Linked DNA regions of Arabidopsis thaliana. The protein of the gene in region 1 interacts with the protein of each later gene in a pairwise test. Each region holds a gene or a part of one and is shown on either strand. Other genes may lie near its edges.

Evidence for each region.
Region 2: the proteins of RR20 (region 1) and AT1G80440 interact in a two-hybrid assay, tested with the Arabidopsis thaliana proteins (one study listed by BioGRID).

The regions. Positions count from the first base shown.
Region 1 is NC_003074.8:23,175,940-23,180,481, forward strand, and holds RR20 (two-component response regulator), read right to left. Parts: upstream 2,356-4,542; coding exon 2,163-2,355; intron 2,013-2,162; coding exon 1,860-2,012; intron 1,733-1,859; coding exon 1,373-1,732; intron 1,293-1,372; coding exon 1,204-1,292; intron 1,103-1,203; coding exon 617-1,102; downstream 1-616. UniProt on the Arabidopsis thaliana protein: Putative transcriptional activator that binds specifically to the DNA sequence 5'-[AG]GATT-3'. Functions as a response regulator involved in His-to-Asp phosphorelay signal transduction system.
Region 2 is NC_003070.9:30,239,361-30,243,865, reverse strand, and holds AT1G80440 (Galactose oxidase/kelch repeat superfamily protein), read right to left. Parts: upstream 2,415-4,505; 5' UTR 2,104-2,414; coding exon 1,039-2,103; 3' UTR 690-1,038; downstream 1-689.

The DNA of each region.
Region 1 (4,542 bases):
TAATATAAGTGCTTAATCGTGAAAATTTGTGTTAAATTCCAAATAACACATATGCCACTGTTTCAGACTATTTATTTTTAACTTCAAAATATTAATATCTCGCAAGGCCCATAATATCCTAAACTGACATTTCCATGGTAGGTACTTGAAATTTCATTATGCTCAGAAGTTAACATATACAAAATTTGGATACTAAAATGAAATCGCAAATTTTATTGTTGTAGTTACATAGCCTATATAGTTTTAATGAAAACAGAGAAATAAAATATCGTTTAGTTTCTGTAACAATATCGTCGACTGTAAAAAAACCTTAAAAAAAAGCCTCTGAGCGTTCGAATACAAAACTACATACTAATCCAAACACAGTGAGTAGTGTCCATGTTGACATTGAGATTACCCACGCCCTAAATCAACTTTATATCTACGCAAGTGATTATATAGATCTCACTATTAAACCATAGGTTTGACCAAAGTTTAAAAAAAAAAACCTAGTGCTTATAACAAAGGCATATAGCAACAAGGTATTGCTATTCGCGTTTGAGGGATTAAAAGAGAGAGACACAAAAAACTAGGATAGATAGATATATAGATGGATTCATCACCTTAGATTGGATAATCAATTGTGACCAATCTGATCGAAAATGTTGAATCCTGCAGGTGGGAAACACTCGTCGATACCGAAAGGTAGATTTGAATTATAGATCATGAGCGGCTCGGAATTTTCCATGGCTGATGATGGCACGTGTCTAGATTCTTGCTTGGTTAGCATGGCAGATATACTATTTAGAGTAGACTGGTACTGTTGATGTTGCTGCTGCTGCTGCAGCTGGTGCTGGAATTGGTCAATATAAGTGGAAGGGTTGGTCATGAAGCAGTTGTTGTTGTTCACTGGCAGGCAACTGGTTGATGGATACGGGATATTGTTCATGAAATATGATCCTCTAGGCGCAGCTTGATTGTTTATCAAATACGATGGTGTAGCATGGGAGCTTAGGAGCGTTTTAGAGGCTGCAAGAGTGACATCTGGCCCAGCATTACCCCAGACAAAATCTTCTTGAGGCTCCTGAGGAGTGCAGGTCTTTTTGGAACTTTGACGGTACTTCTGCCATCGGAATCGTTTTAAATTGTTATAGCCCTTATTACTGGTTTCTTGTCCACTAAGAAACAAGAAAACCCTAAAATAGAATAAAGATCCAAAATTACCTGGAGATGACTGGCTACGTTGTTTCTAGTGAGCCCCTGGACATTCAATTCTTCTTGCATATATTTGAGAATCGTCTTTGGAAAAGCCTCTGCAAAATGCAATTAAAAGGTCAGATAATAATCAAGTAACTTGCTTATTCACGCAAGATTAATTAGTGTAATTAATTACTCTCAAGGCTGCCCATTTTTTCGACGGCTACTTCAAATTTGTGGTGAAGTTCAGGAGTCCATTGCATCCGCGGTTTCTTGGTCGGAGACTTCTCTTCTTTGTGATCGCAAGTGTTTTTGGAGCCTTCTTCGTTGCTCTCATAGAGATTGTCTTGCTCTAAATCGTCGTATTCGTCCGGATCTGATTCAACCGTACCTGATTCACCCGGTTTATCTAAACCAGATTTTGACATCCTTTTTCGATAAACATGTCGCCATAGAACTGCAATGACCTCTTTGCTCACCGGCTTCACAAGAAAGTCACACGCACCGTACTTAATCGATTCCATCACCGTTTCCTTCTTGTATTCATGAGACATGACTTGACATGAATAATTTCACATTGGATCATATTAAAGATTAGAGAATGTCTTACTACGTTACGTTATATATATCGAGAAGAATACAATAAAAAATATTGGTATAATTAATAAGGGATATATACTTACTTACTACGGGTAAATCCATCTGTTTACCAATGATATTGAGAGCGTCGAGTCCATTGATATCGGGCATATGGAAATCCCAAATCACTAGATCGATCTCATGCTTATTCTTCATCAAGAAAGCCATGGCCTCTTCTCCGCTCTCATATTTCGTTACTGAAACACGAAATTAAGCATAACCATAGACCGCAATTAATGTAAACCCCTCAATTACCGAAAAAAAAAAAGTAACGTAAAACCCTAACCAACCTTAATTCGTCAAAGAAACATAAAAAAAAAAAAAACTAACTCAATCTACCTAGATACCTTGATAGGAATACTGTGTCATGAGATTCTTCAAAGACGAATTGGAATCTGCACCGACCAAAAGAACCCTATTACTTTTAGTCAAGAACTCTTCGTCGTCGTCGTTGATGGGAGATGCAATTCCATCATCACAAGGTATTTCGTTTCGCAAGTTGCGAGAGTTCTCATCGAGTATGTTCGAAAAAACTGACATTAAAGATAGAAAATCTAATCTATGAATGCTTGAAGCGCAAGGAAAGAGATAGAGATTGAATTGAAGAAGGAAGAGAGAATAGAGGGGTTTATGAGCGTGCGAAAAACTAGGTATGCATATATATGGATCACGTGCGAAAAGTTGAATATTGGAAAGTATATATACTGTTATTAATTGTTAGGTATAGACTTTTTAAAAAAATATATATAGTTATCCATATATTATTTTGAATTAAAAATCGAAAAAAATGAGTTAAGGAAAATAACAAAAGAAAAAAAAGAAACAAAAGAGTATTGTTGGCGTTTCTCTCTTTAGCTCCGTTTCGTGTTTACTGTTTGACTAAAACATGAAACTTGAGTCCTCATTGTTATTGTGAAATGTAATTCCTGTTGAGGAACTTCAGCTTCTGACATCAATTTGTGCCCAGTTTTTCGACATCATAGGGAAATGAGAGAGAGTTCCATGAAGAAACTGGCTGAAATAAGGGCTATGAATGGTAAACAATGGTATCAGTTATGGTAGTAACTATAGTCAACAATATAAAGATTTCTTCTTCTTCCACTCTGTTTCGACTTTCCTGTTTACGTTCAGCCGTTTAGGCTATTACTTAGAGGGCACGTTATCAAGGGACAATGCTTATTAAGATTGAGCCTTAGTCACGAGCCCTGATCGTAATGAGCCGCAGATTTAATTATGGAGACAAGGATATGGAGTTTCTTGAGAAACAAGGAAAGTGCCCTGATGCATGTTGAGTTGAGAAGTGGACAGATGACTATTGAGGAGGTTCAAAACCAGAGTTTCCAGCAGCGAGACTAATGTTAAGTCTTTGAAATTTATAAAATACTTATTGATGGACAAAGGGAATAAAATTAATTTAAAACAAAACACATAAAAACGAAGTTGAATGTCATTTATGAACTTTATAGTTAAATTGTGTAAGAAGGCGTGTCTCTGTACTAGAAAAGGAAAAATATAATTTGTTTCCATATAGATAAACCGGTCGTTAAACTTTCCAAATACTTCACATGTACTAATGTAAAAGCTTAAGAGGATATATGTATAACAATTGCAAAAAGAAATATATACACGAAAAAGTGTGTTTTCCAAATTTTCACATGTACATAATATAAGCCAAATCTTTACATATTTGACGTATATTTCCTTTTTAAGGAAAGATTCGCTCGATACGATATAATGTATCCAACCACATGTGCACCTTATTATAAAATTGTATAAAGACGAAGTTAAACCATCTGTATTCTGTAATTTCTAACTAAAAACCGACAGAAACTGCTTAAACTAATGAATTGCACAGGTATGTTCCGTCAGCTTCTCCAAATTGTATGAATTATTTATGGTTCTAACAACGTCTTTTCCTCTATCAACGACAGGTTTCACCCATATGTCGTCTCCGCCTTTTGATTTATTTGAGTCCTTTACTGAACCTGGAAGTGGGCCGAAAATTTTCTCTCTAATTTTATTCTTCACGTTGACGACCTCCATTGCCGCAGAATTCACTAGGGAGTGGATAATTTTAAGTTACCCTTACATGAAGTGTTATTTAAGGCGTCGTAGGCAACACAGTAAACTTGAAGGAATTAAACTCTTCGCAAAAAAAAAAACTAGTACTCATCATCCAGTTGGCACTCCTATCTATGGTAGCTGATCTTATGCTCTCTTTGTTTAAAGAGCAAACCAAAATTGTTATTTTGTTGACTTTTGTGATCAGGGTTTGTTGGGTCCTTTTCTCAGTTGGGATGATACTCATATTTCCCGTTGAAGTCGAAATTGTGGCACCCACAAAGTCGAAGAAATTGGATTGAGATGGACAAAAGTAACAAACTAAATCCAACACTTTGATTTTGTCCTTCTACTATTAATATAGTTTGGTCTTCTATTTAGCGTGTTAATGTTTTGATTTGTGGTTTTGTTTTATTTTAGGGTTTTGTTTTGGGTTGAGATTCTGCTTTATCATTTTTTAATATATTTAAAATCTATACTAATAAAAAGGGAATATTAAGAATTATGAACAACCAATGTTGTGTTGAAAAAGAAACGAGCAAACCATTGTTTTTCTACTATCCTAGTAAAAGTTCCAAAAAGAAAAGGTATGTAATCTTATGTATAAAAGACAAAAGATACAGTATAAACAAAATTACGTTGTGTCTGAATGAAAACTTGTTTTGG
Region 2 (4,505 bases), on another chromosome or scaffold:
TTAGATCTTTTATCTAACCATTAATACGTGGGATCCAAAACACAAGCTATCTAGTTTCTAAATTTCTTGAAAAAAGATAATATAACCACAATGCTCAATTTTCTTTTGGAAAGTAGTACTTTTTGACAAGTCTACAACGATCAAGCTAGCGTAATCGTCTTCGTATCTTAAATTTTTCCTTACAATAAAGTTGATGATGTGTGTATGGAGATGAATGAAAAGATAGGCTAAATAGGCCGACTTATAATAGATACAAAAATGTGTTGACTTTTTGGTTAAGAAAGAAACTAAAGAAGCTAAATTCTCTGTACAGTTTAACACTGCTCCAATTCAATTGTTTGTGTGTGTCATAAAGCTGCCAGCCGTTGGATTTAATGACAAAGCTGTGACGCAGAACGAAGCGGCGCCTATTTCCTCTGCAGATTCAACGGCTACGATTTAATTCTCCTGCTGAAAATATAATGCACTTTTCTTTTGTATCGATATTAAATAGATGTTACTTGTAACAGAGGGTGTCTCTGCATCTCTCTTTAAAGTCTGTTGTCAGTCTATCTTCGAACTCTGCCCCTCAGGTGTAATCCATATTTCAAACCTCTGCTCTAATCCTAGCCATCCATTTGTCTCAAGTCCCATCCAAAAGCCCATTTAAAGATCAAAAGTTCATCATTCAAAATCTGGTCTATTTGGGCCTCGAGTAAAAAAATTAATAGGACTAGTCTATGAAACCCATTAAAGTTCTTGGATACCAAAATCAAGGCTCCTTTAATAAACTTTAAAAGTTTTGTGTCGACACATGTTTCGAAAGTTTGTTTGCTTGCAATTATATAATTAGATCAGTTTTGTATAGAGAACCTAAAAGTTCAAATCTTCCTTTTGAAGTTTTGTATAGAGAACATAAATATTTGGTAAAGTGACACTGAATAAATACAATATTTCTTTATTTTGTTGTTCATGAAAAGATTTGTAGATTGACACACGAGACTACCCATTGGTTTGTTGCGGTTTAGGTTCAAACTCCAAAGATGAATAGGTTTTCCATTAGACCTCCAAGAAGCAGCCAGCTTGAACATGACCACCGTGTGTTTCCAATTTTACCCATCGTGAGCTACTTAAATCACATATATACCCTACGGTGGCTTCACCGTATCCAGCCAACGCCTTCCCGTTGCCGATCACAATCAGCATCCCGGGCCTCACCGCTACGTAAGTAACATTGTACACATCAGCAGGGATCTGGCCCACCTTTTGCCACTTGTCATTTAGAAACATCATCACATCGCCACCCCAGCACGCGTACAAATCCCCACCGGCGACGCAGGTCGGAGGGCTAACGGTATCGCCGGTGTCGTCGAGGAAGTCCTCCGTAAGTGGACCCCACTCCCACGTAGACACATCGAACGATTCGGCTGTTTTACTAAACTGCCCCTGTTCCTCAGTGGCATATCCACCGATGACGTGGAATCTGCCAGCATGGAATACCGCTTTGCACTCGTCTCGTTCCCGCGCCATATCCGGCAAAAACGTCCACTTGTCTTCTGACACGTCATACACCATAGCTGACGTAAGCGCACATTTCTCTTCGTTGTGTCCACCCGCAACCAGCACCGTCCGATCCGAATCCGAAGCGCATCCGAAGAAGGACCTCCGTACACCTGGCATGGTTGCCCCCACGCGCCATTTGGAAGTGAGAAAACTGAAGACGAATACCGAATCATGGGCCTGCCACGTAATCGGGTCAAGCCCACCCAAGACAATAAGATCGGATCCAACGGAAACCAATCTGCAGAACAGAGGAAGTCCTTTGGTTTGACCAGGAATCGGAGGAAGCTCCGTCCAAAGACCCGACCCGGATTCGAGAACAGAGATCCGGTATTCAGGCGTAGCGATGATCTTTCCGGATCCAGCGGGGTCGACACGAGCCTGAGACAGAATAAGAAGCTCTTGGCTATGGCGTGAAGCTTTTCGCTGATGTAAAAACTGAGAGAGAGAGACTTCACGGTTCCAGGCTCTGCAAACGGAGGCGATGACAGGGAACTGTTGGTAGGAGGAGCGAAGGAGACACTCGCGAGCAACGTCGTCGGGAAGATTGGGGATAAGTTCCATCGAGAAAGTATCAAAGATTGAAGCTTTTTGTTTATCTGTTTGTTGAGAAGTGAAGAAGATTGAAGCTTTACAAGTAGAGTGAGGGATATTGTAATAGTTTTGGTAAAAGATGAAATTTTGGATCGAGACAAGGTTGAAGAAGATGATGATGATGATGGGAAAGAGGAGAGTGTGCCGCTTTATAGATATTTGAAGATAAGTGTTTCTAGAAAACTTGTTGATTCATTCATCGTTTCTTTCTTTTTTTAATATAATTTTTGTGTTGTATATTTTATAGTTTAAATCAAATAAAATGAAGATAACGGAATTTGAGTTAGTATGGGCAAAAACGGTTAATGGTTGTGTCTTGTATTTAAAGATGGAGACTTTGGACCAATTGGGACAAGTTGATGGATGTCATATCCAAGTTCATTTTCTCCTGATATTTTTCTGGTCAGGTTTAGTAATTTAGCATTCGAATTCCAGTCAACAACAGATTATATATCTAAACATAGACGGTAAAATATACTACCGAATATCGAATTAGGCCTTTCGACTAATACTGATTTTAGATTTTGGATGTTGTTTTGACATGTTACTCTGTTTTCTATCTAATGCTATAGAGTATACACTTACTAGTGCGCACAACAAAAAACAGAATAAAATTAATCTATCATTTGTTCGTTTAAGAATAATGAAAAAACTTAAAACCTACACATAAAAGACTGTACTTTTTGAATGGACCTTCTGAATCTATAATTTAGATCACACCCTTTCTTTTTCTCATATACTAAAATATTAATCGGACCACACACACCCTTTTGCTTTGTAAAAATTTAAATCGATCTCCTAATTCCAAACAACAGAACTTGTTTTTTTTTTTTTTGGTTTTATTATAAACAACAGAACTTGTTCTTTTTTTTTGGTTTTATTATAAACAACAGAACTTTGTGGCAACTTGTATACTAAAGTGATGAATATATGTATACTACACATACACGACGGCAAAATATTATTATATGAAGAACGCAAAACTACAAAGATGTTTCCTTCGCATTATGTGGTACATAATCCAAGCACATAATAGCGTTTAAAGATTAATTTATGTTTTATTAAAATGAAATCCAAATCCAGCTCAAAGACTAATGCCTTGGAGTCTTTCCTCTAAAATCCTTCTAGATAATTTCTCTAATTTCACTTGTAGAATTTCCCTTTTTTTTGACAAAAATTTATTTGATTCTTATTTGGCTTGTTGTTGTCTGTATGTGTGTGTCTATCTTTGGTCGGCCATATTTAAATCTGTATTGATACTCGACATCTTTAAACTATTACCGATGACCAAAGTTATATGTTTTTATAAATATAGCTACAATATATACAGATATTTGTCGTAATTATATATGATCTTTATTAAACTTCTTAACGCGTGTGACATAAAGAAACGAAATGTTGTCTCCGTACTCAAAAGCGTATACTCGTTAATCAAAGCATTTTTGCTTACTAATTTAATCTGTAACGTATGGACATTTATGTACAATACTCTATTTTTCGTAGCTGTACAAAATTGAATACGGAATAATACAATATTTAGGGAATTAGTAGCATGTTCCATGCAGGTTGGACTAGTTCTAGTGTCCGCCATATGTATAAAGCTGTAAACATCTTTAACGCATATATTTGGTTTATTAAAACAATAGTTTTGTGATTACTATGACCCATTCATGTATTTGCATATAAATGTAGTAACTTGGAGTTTTGGTTAATTAGACAAAAGATACTCCGATCTAATATTTTTTAAAATAAGCTAATTGAAACTTCAACGTGGGATAAAACGGGCTGACAAAAAAAGGTTCAACATGAAGAAAATAACTCTAACTGATAAAACGGCACGGCGTCTGAATGACTATAACTCTATAAGGTGACAAAACGACACGGTGTCAACATCCTTAAAGGGGGGAAGAAGAGTCGTCGTGATTCGTCGGGTGGCTGGCTCTTTGATAAATCTAAACAATAAACGACGGAAGCAATCCGATTCTTCGTAGATAGGAATAGCCCGAATAGACTGGTACTGGGAGTGTTGGACCCACTTCATCAATGTTCGTGTCGATATTTTCAATTCTCATACTCTTCTTTGGTCGCGTTCAATTATTCAAATCTCTTAACAAGTATTTTCTTCACAAGAAAATTCGCCAAGCAAATTGGAAAAAAACGAAGAACACACGAAATAACTAGCCAAAAGAGTTTAATTACTTCTTTATATATGTGATCGTTATTTATTTGCATTTTACTCGTTTTTTTTTCCAATTATGTCGACACTTGATTAAATTAGAAGCACAAAGCCTCGAAGCAAACCGGCAAAGATAATAACATCTGCCAGAGCTAAGTAATAAGGTTTACAGTTAGATGATCGAGAGAATATGAGC